3 linked regions of the Arabidopsis thaliana genome follow. The protein of the gene in region 1 interacts with the protein of each later gene in a pairwise test. Each region holds a gene or a part of one and is shown in the gene's direction. Other genes may lie near its edges.

Region 1 (6,176 bases):
GTAAGATCTACAAAAAAATGTAGCGATTGAAGAAAAAAAAAACATGAACTCGATAGCTTAAAACACCGAAAAAAAACGAGTGGGCAACAAATTTTTGGTAATAAAAAAATAATCGAGTGGCGTAGAATAACAAACCATCCATATCCCTATCCTTCTCTCTATTACCTAAACACAACGACACGTGTCTGACTTTTGGAACATCTCAGAGGACAACACTTTTGTGCTGACTAGGCAATAAAGTGCAAAACAAAAGTGTTGTTTTTTTTCTCCTCTTTCATTTTGAGACAGTTGTACCAAACAATTTCTAATTTGGATAAATGGTTTTTTTTTTCATTGAAGACTTCCAGATATTTATTTTACAATTTTTGTCCTTCACATAAAATACCTATTTAATTTTGTTTTGAAGTTGACGGCTACTGAAATTTAAATATCTCTTTCTTCTTTTTAAACAACGCTCGTGTATGTTTTTATTTAGCTACTCGCTTTCTTTGCCACATACTTGGGTCAAAAGAGAGCACTCCAAAAATATATGATCTGTCATTTGAAACCTAACTATTCCTGATAAGTCTAGGTTCATAGTCTAAAGTTCTTGGCCCTCATTTAGGTATAAATAGTCTAAATTTAAAGTATTTAAGCAAAAACAATACTGAGAAGAAAAAAAAAAAAAAAAAAAAAACTACGGTAAAATTTCTAGAAATGTTTAAGAAAAATCTAACTAAAATCAAAAGAATAGCGTATTAAAATACTAATTTTATTGGATTAACTTAATTTGATGAAAATGTCTCTTAATATTTATGGCGATATGTATGTTGGTTGGACTTTGAAATTGTTTTTATAGATTTAATAAGATGAACATTTTGTTCTTGCTTGAGAGTGGCTGGGTACACAATTTTTTTCACTTTGTTCATGCTAAAATTCAGTTTTGTCTTCTTATATTTACATCTAAGTTTATGTTTGATTATCTGAAACCCAAATTATCAAGTATTTTACGATTTTTTGAAATAAACGAAATCTGTTTATTTCCTTATTCAAATTTTATAAAATTTTGTAAGAGTGATTTGATTGAAAATGGACAACATTTGGAGACATTTTCAAAAAAAAATGTTATAAAAGGTTATTTTAAAATGCTTTCAAAAATATCAATATAATAAAGAGCGTGATTATATTTTAATTCAGAATTATTTAAGTGATCGAAAATATCATAAATTTTGTATAATTAGAGCATTTGTTCTGATATGCGACATATTTTACTATAATTTTATAGGAACCATATAAATTTAATTTTTTAACTAATTCCAGTTGCACATTTGTTTAGATGAAAATGATTTGATTGCTGCATGATATAATTTATTTACATTTAAGCATATATTTTATTCTATTTTGATGAATTGTGTGGTATTTTCGTACTTAAATTTTGATATATTGTATGTAATTGTACAACATACTCAATCATATGTTATTACTTCTAATAATTTGAATATGGACATACTCAGAAAGGTATCAAGGGCTCTTTCTCTAGCTATTGTTTCTCATATAATCTTTTCAAAATCATATATCATCACCAACTATACTCATCATTCTCGGGTACTATGAGCTCTAACTAGTGGAATGGTACTAGAACTTTGACACACCGTCTAGTTGAGATTATAGAAATTAAAGATTATGTTATATATAGTAGAAACAAAGTAGGCCAAATTCTTATAGAAAAGAATAAACAAAATTAATATAAAAGATAAATGAAAAAACGGTCTTGAATTATAAACAATTTGCTAGGTGTGATTCAACATTGTCTTTATTCAATACTTGTTGGGTCATAAACATTCAAATTGCATATTATTGTTACTCTAGTATTCAAATTGCATATTATGTTTTATCTAAACTAACTTATATATTTATTTTGATAAACATGTCATATGATATTAAACTTATTTTCAATTGATCATCTTCTAAGTTGATGCATTTTAGTATTTTATATTCAAATTTTGAGATCTTAGTATGTAATATATTTTCAGGTTTTTACTATTCATCAGTTTGATGATGCAAATATACATAGTACGAATAAAATGAGTGAAATTGTTTAATTATATGATCAGGAAGAAAAAATAATATTCCAAAATCCAAATTTTAGTGGGTAATTCTTAGCACAAAAACAAATTTTGTTTCCAAATATATCACATATTTTTCAATGTTCCACAAATAGCATTAATTGTTGAAATTTGTTATGAATAAGAATATGTTCTATAACATTATATGAATTAGAATTATCAATAGATAAAGTGTGTCAACTCAAATCGCTAAATTGTTGAAAACAATTTAATAATATATTCATTTAATATATTCTCATGTCAATATGATATGATTAGATCTATTTAGTGAGATCTTATTTAATTGTTAATTCTAATAAAACAAAAATAGTGATTATATTACTAATAAATAATATAATTGTTTAATCTTATTTTATGGAACTGTATTTCTCAACTTCAATTAAATACTGTACCTAAACCTAAAATTAAATATGCAATCAACTTGATTAATAAAAAACAACAAAATGGGGTAAGAAGTAAACAACGTTGTTAAACAAGACACGCGCTCACCAGTCGCGAGTTTGGCAATAATCATGAAATGAGCTTCTTTAAAAAAACTTTCTAGTAGATAAATTAAACAATTAAAAATCTCCGACAAGATTTAACAAAGAACAGATAATATCTTCTCCGCAAAGACAAAAGTGAAAGCGAAGAAGAAATCCTCCACGTGTCATTAGCATCTTTTAACCTGAGCCACATGATACTAGTTTCTCGAAACCCCTCTTTACGCTTTTTCACCCAAATTTTTATAAAAAGAAAAACATTATGCTTACGTGGCTTATCTTCTTCTTGCTCTTTTAAAGTAACCCCTTGACTCTGCTCCTTTCATAAACAACAACTCTCTCACCAATCTCAAAACAATTCTCTCTCTCTTTATTCTTCTTCTTCAGCTTCAGATTTCAGATCTTAAATCTTCAAGTCTTCTTCTTCTTCTTCTGCAACCATGGCTATGCAGGTTTGAGATCTATCTTCTTTGTTATTCTTTATGCAATCTTGATCTTGGTTTTGTTACTGTTGTTATGTTTCAAGTCTTGTGGAATCCAGACAGATTTAACCTAAACTTAGGTTTATGTCCGAGAGAAAATAGGTTATTTTGTTATCTAATTTCAAGTTTAATCTCTTTGTCTGAGAGAACTTGGAACTGAAGATTATTCGATTGTGGCAGGTTAAAAATTGTGTTAATAGACCAGGCGATTATGTGGGATATTATGGTCGGTTGTTTTAAAGAGAGATTACTTCTTTCTTAATGTATTGATCCGTATTAGGTAAGAACATGTCTCTAATCCCCTAATTATTACTGGTGGTCTACCTCTTCTAGTTGCGTATTAATTAGTTTTATTAGACTCTTTGTAACATTTAATTACTCTTACAATATATTAAGAGACTAATTGTGTTTTCTTACTTTGTGATTATAGGAACGTTGTGAGAGTTTATGTTCTGATGAACTTATATCTTCCTCAGATGCCTTTTACCTCAAGGTACTAATTTTGTTTCTTAATCTCTTGTTTACTCTTGATTGGTTTTGAACTTAAATATGAGGTTAATTTAGGGTTTGTTTTGTTTATAGACAAGAAAGCCTTATACCATCACTAAACAAAGAGAGAAATGGACAGAAGCAGAGCATGAGAAGTTTGTAGAAGCATTGAAACTCTATGGCAGAGCTTGGAGACGAATCGAAGGTGTGTGTGCTTATCTGACTTTAGAGAGTCTAATGCACATTCTAATCTAAGTTTGATGAAGATATAAGAAAACTACTTGGACCCTAGTAATGAGTAGAGATCTGACTTTTGTTGGTTCTTCTATGGAACAGAACATGTTGGAACAAAAACTGCAGTTCAGATTCGAAGCCATGCGCAGAAGTTCTTTACTAAGGTTTGCCTTCTTGCAGACCCTTATACATGAAAAAGTTTCAACCTCTTCGTGTTAAGCAAGGTCTAATTCAAGTTTTTCTTATTAGGTTGCTCGCGATTTTGGTGTTAGCTCTGAGTCCATTGAGATCCCGCCTCCAAGGCCAAAGAGAAAGCCGATGCATCCTTACCCTAGAAAGCTTGTGATTCCTGATGCAAAAGAGATGGTATACGCTGAACTAACCGGATCCAAGCTGATTCAGGATGAAGATAACCGATCTCCAACATCGGTTTTATCAGCTCATGGCTCAGATGGATTAGGTTCCATTGGTTCAAATTCACCTAACTCTTCTTCAGCTGAGTTATCATCTCACACAGAGGAATCATTGTCTCTAGAAGCAGAGACCAAACAGAGCCTTAAGCTCTTTGGAAAAACTTTTGTAGTTGGTGATTACAACTCTTCAATGAGTTGTGATGATTCTGAAGATGGCAAGAAGAAGCTATACTCAGAAACACAGTCTCTTCAATGTTCTTCTTCTACTTCAGAAAACGCTGAAACAGAAGTGGTAGTGTCGGAGTTCAAAAGAAGTGAGAGATCAGCTTTCTCTCAGTTAAAATCGTCGGTGACTGAGATGAACAACATGAGAGGGTTCATGCCTTACAAAAAGAGAGTAAAGGTGGAAGAAAACATTGACAATGTAAAATTATCATATCCTTTGTGGTGAAGTGTTCGTTTGTGTCAAGTCAGTTGTGTAAACTCTTTTGATCTCAACATCAGATTATGTGTATAATGTCAGAGTATTAGGGAAAGTTTTTTTGGATTAGATTCGTAAGATCACTCCAAAGTTTCGTGTCTTTCCATATAACCAGTTAGAAATTGAGATCCTTGTACTTAAACATTTTTATTTGATCAATCAAATCTTCTTGATAACTCTAAATTGTTGTACATAATAGTAGTCTCTATCAAGCATTTCATTCGAAAGGATTAACAAAAAAGATTAGGTTTACAAAAAATACATCAAAAGCAAATGTTTGAAACATAGAAACAAGTAATGCATCATAAACCCTAAGACTAGCTTCAAGTCTCTGTGACGGTTTCACTCTGTTTCAAGATCTTCCTCGTACGGTACTCGTCGACACAAAGGACACGACCTCTGACGCTTAAGCCACTCAAAGATACAATTTTGATGGAACAAATGGAAACAGTCAGGTAACAGAATGATGTTATCATCATGACTCTCCGAAAAGTCCTCCAAACAAATCGAACAAGTGGTTTCTTCTTCATCTCCCAAATCAGTCAATTCCATTGTTTGTTCCTCAAGCAATCTTTGAAACGTATCTGTCGACCTAACAGCAATAGACGAGAACATAACATCTCTTGTCACTTCCACGTATAAGGACACACTAAAAGGTTGGGGAATATGAGCACAATCCAAAACGATCCTTTCGCTCAACAATCGACAAAACTCAGTATGTGTGATGAACTCGTCAAGGTCTTGATAGATGTGATGTGAACTGAGACATGATGGTTTCAATTCGATTTTAGTCATAAGTGGAGCCGCGAACGTTCCCAAACACATTACGACACCGTTTTGATCTTCAGCTAACTCGTTGACCACATCTTGTAGATTGACGAACACGGTGTTTCTAAACCCTTGATCTTGTGGTAGGATCATTGCTGTTGTAGTAATCTTTACGGACACCAAATTACTATATGTATTCATGGTGGAAGAAGAAGAAGAAAAAGAAGATTCAAAGCCTAACTTTTGATATGAAGAGATAAGATTGTGAAATCAAAGAGAAGAGATCGATGAAATTGACTTAAAGTGAGGCTGAGTGAATTAATATATATATAGAGAGATATTTTACGTTTCGACGCTTCAGTTGGAAAAAAGGAAATCATAAACAAATTTGTTGACGAAAAAGGAAATTAAGGAAAGGAAAACTTTGACCAAAAAAGAAAAGAAAAGGAAAACATGAATTTAGTAAAAATAAAAATAAAAAGGAAACAATCAGTTTTTTGATAAAAAGGAAATTTAGATTAACAAAACGCGTCAAATTTTTTATTTAATTTTAATTAACTAAAGTCAGATAACAAATCAGACCGTTCCACATTATTTCGCAACATTACTTATACTAGATGAATTTCCATTACGCTTGGATTTGTTTTAAAAATTGTTAATAAAAATATGTTAATTGTTTTTATCGCTAATTTATATTTATTTTTTATTTATTATTGTATAAC
Region 2 (5,016 bases), on another chromosome or scaffold:
GCACGGAGATGGTATAGGCAGCGACGGGCCGTCCACAAACCCATGGTCAAGCGTAGCCCTCAAATCCATCCTAGACGAAACTCACCAGAACCTACAGAGGCAAAACTAGTCTCGGACTAAAACCAGTCCACAAACAAAGTAACCACCTTTGGCTTGGGAAATGGAAAGAGGAAGCTTGCAAGCAGCTAGAGAAGCCAGCTCTAACAACCAGCCACAACACAAAGCACCAAAAAGAGACCAACTTCCCCGGTGCAAACTAAAAGAGAGGATCAGAATCGCCGGAGCTGAGACCTCAGCACTACAAGCTACACCTAAAACAGCAACACACAAACAGAGCCTCCAAACAAACCGGAGTAATGCGAGGAGACAGGGACACAAACGACTTCCAAAACTAAGCGGGAGTAAAGCGCACAGATCGCAGAATCTCTAGATCCGAAACGCTAACTCGTCAAATCGCCGACGAGAAGGAAGCCAAACCACTGAGTGGAGCCACTGGGGGGCCTCTCCCGGTCACGGCGAAGAGCACCGATGACCGGAGAAACAAAGGCGGCGTAGATCTAGGTTTTGCGAAAGGTAAAGGGTTGAAGGAAAAGTCGTCCGCGAGTGGATGCCACGCACGTCGACTTCTTCTTTTGATGATATTAGCTAACTATATTGGAAGTATAGAACCTATAAAGAATATTTCTCGAATGTAATTTAACAGTTAAGGGTTAATTAGTTAAAATTAGAATTCAAAGAGTGAGAAGTTTCGAATAGTTGCGGTGGTTAGGACGGACAAATCCTTTTACGATTTAAACCGTTTTTTGTTTACCATTCATAAGCTATAATCCGTAGTAGTATGGATTGAGAAAATAGAACAAGTCTGCATCGGACTAACTATGTACTGCTTTTACATATAAAAAAACTTGGTCTGTGGTTGTTTGTTGTCTGCTTCAAAAATAAAGTGATATGTTTCGTTAGCGGTTTAGTTCACTTTTTTCATTGCATTCATTCAAAACCTAAAACATAAACTGTGAAACGCATAAAGTTTTTATTCGTGAAATTTTTTGGTCATTCTGATGATAAATTTGGTCGAATCATCATTAAATATATCATTTAAACGTCATTAAATTAACGATGAATTAACTAAGTGTTTACCAACTAATTATCAACGATAATTTTATCAGTATATCATAAATTTGTTATGTATACGTTACCATTTCGAGTTTAAATGGTGATAATAGTCGAGATGGACATATTCATCAACGGTTTAGTATGTTCTATTTTTACTGCAGACAATAAACTGTCGCGTCGCAGACCAACTCTATTTGTATGTTAAAGCGGTTCGTAGCTAGTTCACAACAAACTTTTTAAGAAAAAAATCTCTGCTTACAATACACAATTTATAAATAGTAAATAAAAATTCAGCTCAGTCTACAAAGAGATTTGACGGCATTAACCGCTGCAACCATTAGGGGATATTCAACTTTGACAGTTTCGGAGGATGTACGTCTCCTAGAAAATAAGAAATTAATTATTTTAATCGTTAAAAGAAATTACTTTAATCATGAACCATGCAAGTGAAGTTCCTTTTTTTTTCCTTTTGCGAGCAAACTCGTAATAAAATATAAAGTTAAAATAGTTAACCACCACACACACAATGACACGAAGACACCCAATAACGTAGAGACTGTCCCGACCCGATATTCAATATATTTCTGAATGCTCACATAGTCACATAATCTTTAATAATTGTAATCAGTGGGACATTGATTCTCTAACCACTTCTTCGGCGATGAATTTTTCTAGACTAAACGAGTAACTAGTTAATAGTAAAATTTAGAGTAATTGGCTGCACTGCACCCATGGCCATCATGAGTCACCTAAATTACATTAAATTGAATGTATCTCTCTTTCTTCATCTTCTTCAACGCTTCATTCCACACTCGTAGATTTTCTTGACTCTTGTATCAATTCAGATTAAGAAAAAGGTACATTTCTTTGGTAGATGTTATGACTGCTCATAAATTTATAAAAACGAACAGAAATAGTTTTAAAAAAAAAAGAAATATTATAATCTAAGTGAAAACATGATTGAAAACAAATGATAGTATGTTACACAATTTCTCGTTCATATATTATCTTTTTAAAACAAACCAAAAACTTGCACAGTAGTTTAATGAATAATCACTAATAAATTCATATACTATTATTATATACTCCCTTTTTATAGACCACAAAAATGCTATGATTCATGATTCATTCTAGAACGTGATTGTGATATGTGACAATGAGCGAGTCATACTAGTCAACTACTCGAAACTTGTGTATCAAACATGAGGACGAGAGATCGTCTGGTGGAGGGAAAATAACTAAATTATTGACAATTTGGTCCTCTAGGGACACTCACATCAAACCAATAGGTCAATATTTTTCCACGTGTACAACCAGTTTAATGACAATTTCATAATATCCATTTGCTTTAAATAACAATCATTCCTATATAAACCTAAATCTTGAACACAAGAGAGACAAAGAAAGAGTAAAGATGTGTAGAGGGTTTGAGAAAGAAGAAGAGAGAAGAAGCGACAATGGAGGATGCCAAAGACTATGCACGGAGAGTCACAAAGCTCCGGTAAGCTGTGAGCTTTGCGGCGAGAACGCCACCGTGTATTGTGAGGCAGACGCAGCTTTCCTTTGTAGGAAATGCGATCGATGGGTCCATTCTGCTAATTTTCTAGCTCGGAGACATCTCCGGCGCGTGATCTGCACGACCTGTCGGAAGCTAACTCGTCGATGTCTTGTCGGTGATAATTTTAATGTTGTTTTACCGGAGATAAGGATGATAGCAAGGATTGAAGAACATAGTAGTGATCACAAAATTCCCTTTGTGTTTCTCTGATTTTATGTTTTGTTTTTCGCGTAATTAAGATTAAATATTGGTAGGGTTTTTTCTCTGGAAATGTTCTAAGAATGTATATTTTCATTCTAAAGCTTAAAAGTAATATATGAACACCTAGAAAACATATTGATTTAATAGTAAAATAATGCGGTCCCAATAGTAAGCTATAAGAAATCAAGAACAAATCTTCCTATGGCAAACATAATCTGCCTTTATTCTTTGGCTTTATTTTTCTTAACTAGGAAAACAATACAACGTTACAAATTACAATCAAGTGAAATGGAAGGTGGAGAGTGGTCCAAAACACAAAGAAGATATATTTTTCTATGATTAACATGTAATTGAGATTAAGGAGCTATAAGTAGGAAAGAGTCAACGACTCTTGTTTTGTTTTTTGGTTTCTGATTTTGTCTGATCGTCTCGTAGCTGTATGCCTAATTAATGCCTGTATGACCGGTAGGTTTTGTGGTTGCATCAAAAAACAGTGGAAATTCTCTAGTAAAAAGAGCAACTTTCAGTTTTTTTTTTTTTTAATCTCCATTTTGGAATCACCTTTGCGATGATTTTAAGTCTTTGTAGTTTGATCTTGTATACTTTCTCAAGAAGAGAATTTTATGTTTTTTTTTTGTTACTTCTCCGACAAGAAACTGTTAATCCCGTGGATGGAGTCAGATTATTCTTTAGTTCCGCAGTGAAGATTCACTAGTTCACATCACCAGTGACGGATCATACTCAAAAGTTTCTCCAGATTTTACAAATCTCCCTTTGACCCGTTTTCTCGTATCAGCTCTGGCTTTGCGTGATGCATATCTTATTTGCTTCCCAAACCTAGAAGAAATTGGTACCACAAATATCAATGAGATTATGTTTTAAAAGCATGATAATGACTCTGATTATGTGTCTCAAAAACTTACATGCGCTTTGATTTCTTTTGTTTGTATCTCTTTTTAGCCTCATCCCTTAATTTTGGATTAAAACTAACTTCAACATTCGATTCCCATGGCGAATCTCCTATGAGAAACCCTGGTGAAATTCCGCAATCTTGGTAATCAGTCGCATTGCTTTCTCCTGTGAGGTTAGACATCGAAAGTGACATGTTCGGTACAACGTTCCCGGATAAAGTAGGAAGCAGTAATGAAGGAAGGCCAATGTTATTCTCTTCCTTAAAAGAATCCTCGTACTCGTAACATTTGGTATTGTCAAGTGATGAACATCCGATTATATCATTGCTTGCGTTGAAATTCAACGGCGCATCATCTAAGTTTATCCCTTCGCATAGATCCAAACCAGAACATTCCTGCATATAGAACGGAATATAAATGAAAAACATTCTTCTTTATCATAAATGAAACATTTTGATATATTACTTAAACAACACGTCACCTCTTCTATCACTTTTGGAAGATTAGATTCCATAGGAAAGAAAGAAGAATAGTCTTTAAGGTTCTGAGTTTGTGTAACCACGGAAGTTGATGAACCATTCCAATCGTCTAATTCCTGGAGCAGGGTATCAGAAAATGGAGAGACCAAACTTGTGACAGAAGGTTCTAAAGTTGAAGACCAGATCTTGCCGAAATCTGATGGAGAAGGACAATCAGAGTAAGGGTTCAGACTCTGAAGTCTGTGTCCTAAACCAGTGCAGTTACTAGCGGTCCACTGACATCCTTGGCAAAGAGAAACATTTTCGTTCATACAGTGTACTGCCGTGGGTTGTAAGGAACATTTCTCGCAGAGTAGAGATCGCGTGTGTCTTTGAGACAGAGGATTCGCTGAGTGTACATTAACGTCACAGTTTAAACAAAGTTTAGCCGAATCAGATTTGCAGTAGATTAATGCTTTTTCGGTTCCACAAAAGTCACATCGAGCCTCCATACTTCTTCGAAGACAAAACTCCAAAGAAATAACGATTTCTCAATCCCAATCGCTACACACACCTAAAATCCTATAGCATAGAAGGATCGTGAGACAAAAACAGAACATTCAGAGATCAAACAAAATTACGATTCATTATAGGTTCATGTATCTTTTTAATGTGTGACTGTGACTGTGACTAATACATGGTTGTGTTTGAATGTTAGAGAAACACTCACAAACTAAGAAAATGTGGATTCTCGAGACCGAATCAGTACTAAAAT
Region 3 (5,439 bases), on another chromosome or scaffold:
GTATTCATTGAAGACTTGGAACGATTATATAAGTTTATCAACGTAGATATATTTGAAATATCATTGTTATCTCTCATGAAACAATTAATTTATGAAGTCGTAGACTCGTAGTTAGAGATTATTTAATCTTCCCTATTCAATGCCAAAAGTCTAGAAGAGCAAAACAAAAGGGAGAAACTCTTTTATTTCAGGCCCAATGACACAAAGCTGGCCAGAAACAGTTTAAGATTAGGCTAAAGTTATAAGTCCGACAAGCACGAGTGCTAATATATATAGTTATATGACGTCTCACCATTAAGGGTTTAATAAATTTTGAAACACCTCAAATTAAGATTGCTTCCCATGCAAACTTCCTTCATCTTCTAGAAAAATTACGATTTGTAATACTTCAATTATATCATTTTAGTTTTTTGTCACTAATTATCATCAATTTATCATAGCTCCGTGCCGCAACAACGTTCGTTTTAATCAGATTATATATTACTCTGCTATAAACTCAGAACCATGTTAGAAAAATGAAAAAGACATTTCAGAATATTCATTAACTCAAAATTTTAATCTCATGATTTAATTTTTTATTAACAATGTTATCCTATAGCACATGGCAAATTTGAACGGCCCTTGCGTATTAATCTATTATAATCTCAAAACCATGTGTAAGAAAAAGGAAATTCAGAAAATAACCTTTTGTAAATAGGCCCCCACAAAATCTACAACATACGTAGATACCTCCTCGCTTACAGTTGTAAACAACTGTTCATCTAGATTCATGCCGTCATTCAAGTTTAAATTAATACAATAATTTAAAATTTTAATTTGGATGAATCGAATCCACCGTCGTTTCCTGAATACCAGATAGGTTAACTTTATGATTAGTTCGAGTGAACCACATGCACAATATTCGAATCTTAGACATTCGTTGCAATGTTAACTTCACATATATTTGATAAACGCTTCTTGAATCAGATCTTAATCTCTTTCTTTCTCTCCATCTTCTAAGGAGGTTGTGGATTATCATGTAGTATATCATTATCTTCGCATCACCTTCAACAAGAACAAGCTACGAGCTTTAAAGTCGTATTTAACACAATAATGTATAAAGTCTTTCTTCATCACATCACATACATTTTTTGTTGCCATCACCCTTCATTCACTTTTTTTGTTAACACTATTCGTTTCTATATAAAATAAAAATAAAATGAGGAATGTCTTGTCCATAGAGATTTTTAAGGTCGAGGGTCATCGGAGCGATGTGGGCTTGCTTCCTACATTATAGTTGATATGTGGATCCCGCGTGGACCATATTTTTACCCAATAGCTACGTGCATGGTCCCACCGCTCTCTCTCACGCACTATTCCGAAATTGCCATAAACAATTTCACCGGACAAAAAGAGCAAATAATTTCGATGTTTAATAAAGAGACCATTAGTATATTTGACCCAAAAAAAAATAAAAAAAAAAGAGAGACATTACTATAACTTTTATTAGATGAAATATTGCAACATTGTATTTATAACGGATCTAATTTACTGAATCATATTTTTTTTCTTTGTTAAAGAGATACTGAATCATGCAGAAAAATAGATAGATTTTTAAATACTAGGTGAACTCATGACGAATCAACCATTACGAGAGATTTCTGGATAAAAGCAAAAACAAAACAAAACTAACATGCTAATCTAGGCAATTAGTAGAGCGAAAAGTCGGCAAAACCAAAGGCCGAAGAAGCTTGATCGATATACTTTTTTTTTTTTGTTTTGGCTGGATATACTTGGTATGAACTAAGAATTAAGTAAAAACTCATAGGGAGTAATTTTTCGAGAAGTGCATTCACTATGAGTATAAAACAGACATTTTCAAATTATTAAAACAAGCTCTTAGAGGCTCATATGTTTAATTGTAAGTGGCGGCTCATGCGAACTTATAATGAAAACATCAAATATTCGGAAAAATAATACTCCACTGTTAAAAAGAAAACTTAACAAAGGAATTAAAAATATGAGAGCAAAAGAACACATGCATTTTCTCATGCATGTACTATTATTTATTTTTTTGCAGAGTTGATGTAAAAAATATACACATATATATAGACATACTTTGGTTAGTTATAAACTCGTTCTATTTTCTTCTCCTTTTTCTATCTTTAGCAATGAACATATCAGTAAACGGACAGTCACAAGTACCTCCTGGCTTTAGGTTTCACCCAACCGAGGAAGAGCTCTTGAAGTATTACCTCCGCAAGAAAATCTCTAACATCAAGATCGATCTCGATGTTATTCCTGACATTGATCTCAACAAGCTCGAGCCTTGGGATATTCAAGGTTCATCATTTATCTTTTATTCTTGATGAAACGTATTAATAGGGCTTGTATATATTAATTAAATTAGTTTTTTAATGCATGTGTTGAGTCAAGAACTAAAGCTCTGAATTCAGGAAATTTTGCAGAGTAATATATACTTTTTGTGATAATAAAATTTGCAGTAACAAAATTCAGTCAAAACTTAACACAACTCTTGTTTTTTCTATGTAGAGATGTGTAAGATTGGAACGACGCCGCAAAACGATTGGTACTTTTATAGCCATAAGGACAAGAAGTATCCCACCGGGACTAGAACCAACAGAGCCACCACGGTCGGATTTTGGAAAGCGACGGGACGTGACAAGACCATATATACCAATGGTGATAGAATCGGGATGCGAAAGACGCTTGTCTTCTACAAAGGTCGAGCCCCTCATGGTCAGAAATCCGATTGGATCATGCACGAATATAGACTCGACGAGAGTGTATTAATCTCCTCGTGTGGCGATCATGACGTCAACGTAGAAACGTGTGATGTCATAGGAAGTGACGAAGGATGGGTGGTGTGTCGTGTTTTCAAGAAAAATAACCTTTGCAAAAACATGATTAGTAGTAGCCCGGCGAGTTCGGTGAAAACGCCGTCGTTCAATGAGGAGACTATCGAGCAACTTCTCGAAGTTATGGGGCAATCTTGTAAAGGAGAGATAGTTTTAGACCCTTTCTTAAAACTCCCTAACCTCGAATGCCATAACAACACCACCATCACGAGTTATCAGTGGTTAATCGACGACCAAGTCAACAACTGCCACGTCAGCAAAGTTATGGATCCCAGCTTCATCACTAGCTGGGCCGCTTTGGATCGGCTCGTTGCCTCACAGTTAAATGGGCCCAACTCGTATTCAATACCAGCCGTTAATGAGACTTCACAATCACCGTATCATGGACTGAACCGGTCCGGTTGTAATACCGGTTTAACACCAGATTACTATATACCGGAGATTGATTTATGGAACGAGGCAGATTTCGCGAGAACGACATGCCACTTGTTGAACGGTAGTGGATAACGGAAATGGAAGAGAGGAAGTGACTAAGTGAGTGACATACCAAAACATTGTGTAGAAAGATATAATAATCATCATACCATATATATAGTTGTTGAAACTTTTACGGTATAAATGGTCAGATTGTGATAATTACAGTACGTAGTTATGTGATATCATTACAGAAAATAAAAGTTCTCTATATCTGTGTACATTTTATATCATGATTAACTTTATAGAAAAGAATTGGTTGCATAGTTGAATTTCTTTGGATCAAGAATATTAGTTTTTGTCTTTTTGAAACTTAATTGCCATTCGATGAACAAAAAGGCAATTACATTTTCTACTGTAAGAAATCATAGTCTGTCACATGCATCGCCGGGTGTTTTCTAATTACAATTATATGAAAAAAGGATTTTGACCAAAAGTTGATTATGATTTCAAGAGAGACAAAAGACCAAAATGATAATTAATTCGTCGACAAATTAACTTTAGGAACAGATGATTTCCATTACGTTAATTATTCAAAGTTTCTCATTTTACTCTCAATTAAACTGAAGTTTTATTTACTAGAAACTTGAGATATTTAGTTGGTAAATGCTTAGTTTGATGTTGAATAGTTTGCTTCATTCATCATTAGGAATAGATTAATTACCCAATTAATCACCCCAACAAACTTGGATTAAGATGCACCAAGTGCTTAATAATAGTAGCTAATTAACCTACCCATCAAAGCTAATCACACTCATTATTTTTCAATTATAGCATTTAATCAAACAGTATTCGTTCTTATTGTTGAATAATCTCTTTCAAGGTGCGGAATCTTACTTTTGAAGAAAAATGGAGGATTCAAATATTCTCATCTTTCTTTTTATCATGTGATAATATTAGTAACAGACTCCATAACTGTAACGTTTTGACCTTTCATTTTCCACTTTAGCTTTCTGAAATTAGATTCGATTTATTATAATGATGTATTGATATTGATCATGTTGTAAATACTAAACGCAACAATTACATGAAACTTGAATTCGAGGCATTAATTTTTCTCTTTTCTCTTTGACCTTAGCTGATGCAAAATGGAGGATTTCTCAAATATCCTCACTGTTATTTATTTTTTATTTTTTGGGTTAAACCTTAATAAAAAATATTGGAAATATCAAAAATGTGTGGGCTGTTACATGTGAGTTCTGCTTGGTATTAATTGTACCACAAGTATATTGGGCCAGGCCCATTTTATTAATAGGTCAATAACGACATCAAATGGACTGTGAGTGTAGGTCCACTCGATGTCTTAATTCGTGAATTTTAAATTTGTGAGACCTTGTTTTTTTCTCTTTGTTATTCCCTTATTAGGAATTGACAAATATAATATACGGTATAGGATTTTAAAGTACTAATTAATGTTCGGTTGTGGTACGGCTTGAATATGTAAATATACTTTGATTTTCGTATAATTTTCTCGCATCATCACGTCCTCTTCTCTCACGTAAACTGTTTGATGAAGTAAACAACACAATGGAAATTCCGACTTCACAAAAAGCCGTATGATTTAACACACGAAACATATAGTATATATTGCTAATTTTGTGCCCTTTATGGATTAGTTTCAAGTAATCTTTCACTGACTACTAATGTAAAAAAGAATTAAAAAAATAAACACAGGAATAAGAAAGGGCATATTATTTATAAAAAAGGTATGCTAATTATTGTTATAAGCATTATTTAACAAATTAATAAAGGCTTTCCACTAATAGCGACACACTCGACCGACAAATGAATCCAGGCCACTTATTACATGTGATTGATGACTGATGATCGTTTGGCTTGAGTGGATTCGTATTCGTACTCCTTTGCTTACGGGAATTTGGGGGAATCTCCAGAGTTCAAACAACTAATGAATGTGTATATCGTTTACTTTTTAACTTTTCTACTTTGATATAAAGAACACCATAGTATCTCTTTGTTACAGAGATATCACACATAAATAATAATCAAAATGATTCTTTTAAAATGGGGTAAAAACTACAGTACTCGCAAAAATTATATTAACATAGTTATGTATTTGTGTTGGAAGCCAATACACAAAAAAGAAAGT

The links. Proteins that work in one complex are often made in the same cells at the same time.
Region 2: the proteins of RVE2 (region 1) and BBX30 interact in a two-hybrid assay, tested with the Arabidopsis thaliana proteins (one large-scale study listed by BioGRID).
Region 3: the proteins of RVE2 (region 1) and NAC066 interact in a two-hybrid assay, tested with the Arabidopsis thaliana proteins (one large-scale study listed by BioGRID).

What each region holds. Positions count from the first base shown.
Region 1 is NC_003076.8:14,749,824-14,755,999, reverse strand, and holds RVE2 (Homeodomain-like superfamily protein), read left to right. Parts: upstream 1-2,911; 5' UTR 2,912-3,027; coding exon 3,028-3,039; intron 3,040-3,499; coding exon 3,500-3,562; intron 3,563-3,651; coding exon 3,652-3,763; intron 3,764-3,894; coding exon 3,895-3,956; intron 3,957-4,041; coding exon 4,042-4,656; downstream 4,657-6,176. Other genes in the region: AT5G37250 (RING/U-box superfamily protein), read right to left, coding at 5,029-5,655. UniProt on the Arabidopsis thaliana protein: Positive regulator for cold-responsive gene expression and cold tolerance. Part of a regulatory feedback loop that controls a subset of the circadian outputs and modulates the central oscillator. Negatively self-regulates its own expression.
Region 2 is NC_003075.7:8,706,354-8,711,369, forward strand, and holds BBX30 (B-box type zinc finger family protein), read left to right. Parts: upstream 1-2,487; 5' UTR 2,488-2,527; coding exon 2,528-2,881; 3' UTR 2,882-3,129; downstream 3,130-5,016. Other genes in the region: AT4G15245 (uncharacterized protein), read left to right, coding at 161-353, 415-695; BBX9 (B-box type zinc finger protein with CCT domain-containing protein), read right to left, coding at 3,589-3,709, 3,796-4,178, 4,265-4,753. UniProt on the Arabidopsis thaliana protein: Developmental regulator acting by forming heterodimeric complexes, that sequester CO and CO-like (COL) proteins into non-functional complexes. Engages CO and the transcriptional repressor TPL in a tripartite complex.
Region 3 is NC_003074.8:22,927,119-22,932,557, reverse strand, and holds NAC066 (NAC domain protein 66), read left to right. Parts: upstream 1-2,101; 5' UTR 2,102-2,150; coding exon 2,151-2,322; intron 2,323-2,532; coding exon 2,533-3,365; 3' UTR 3,366-3,552; downstream 3,553-5,439. UniProt on the Arabidopsis thaliana protein: Transcription activator of genes involved in biosynthesis of secondary walls. Together with NST1, required for the secondary cell wall thickening of the anther endocethium, which is necessary for anther dehiscence.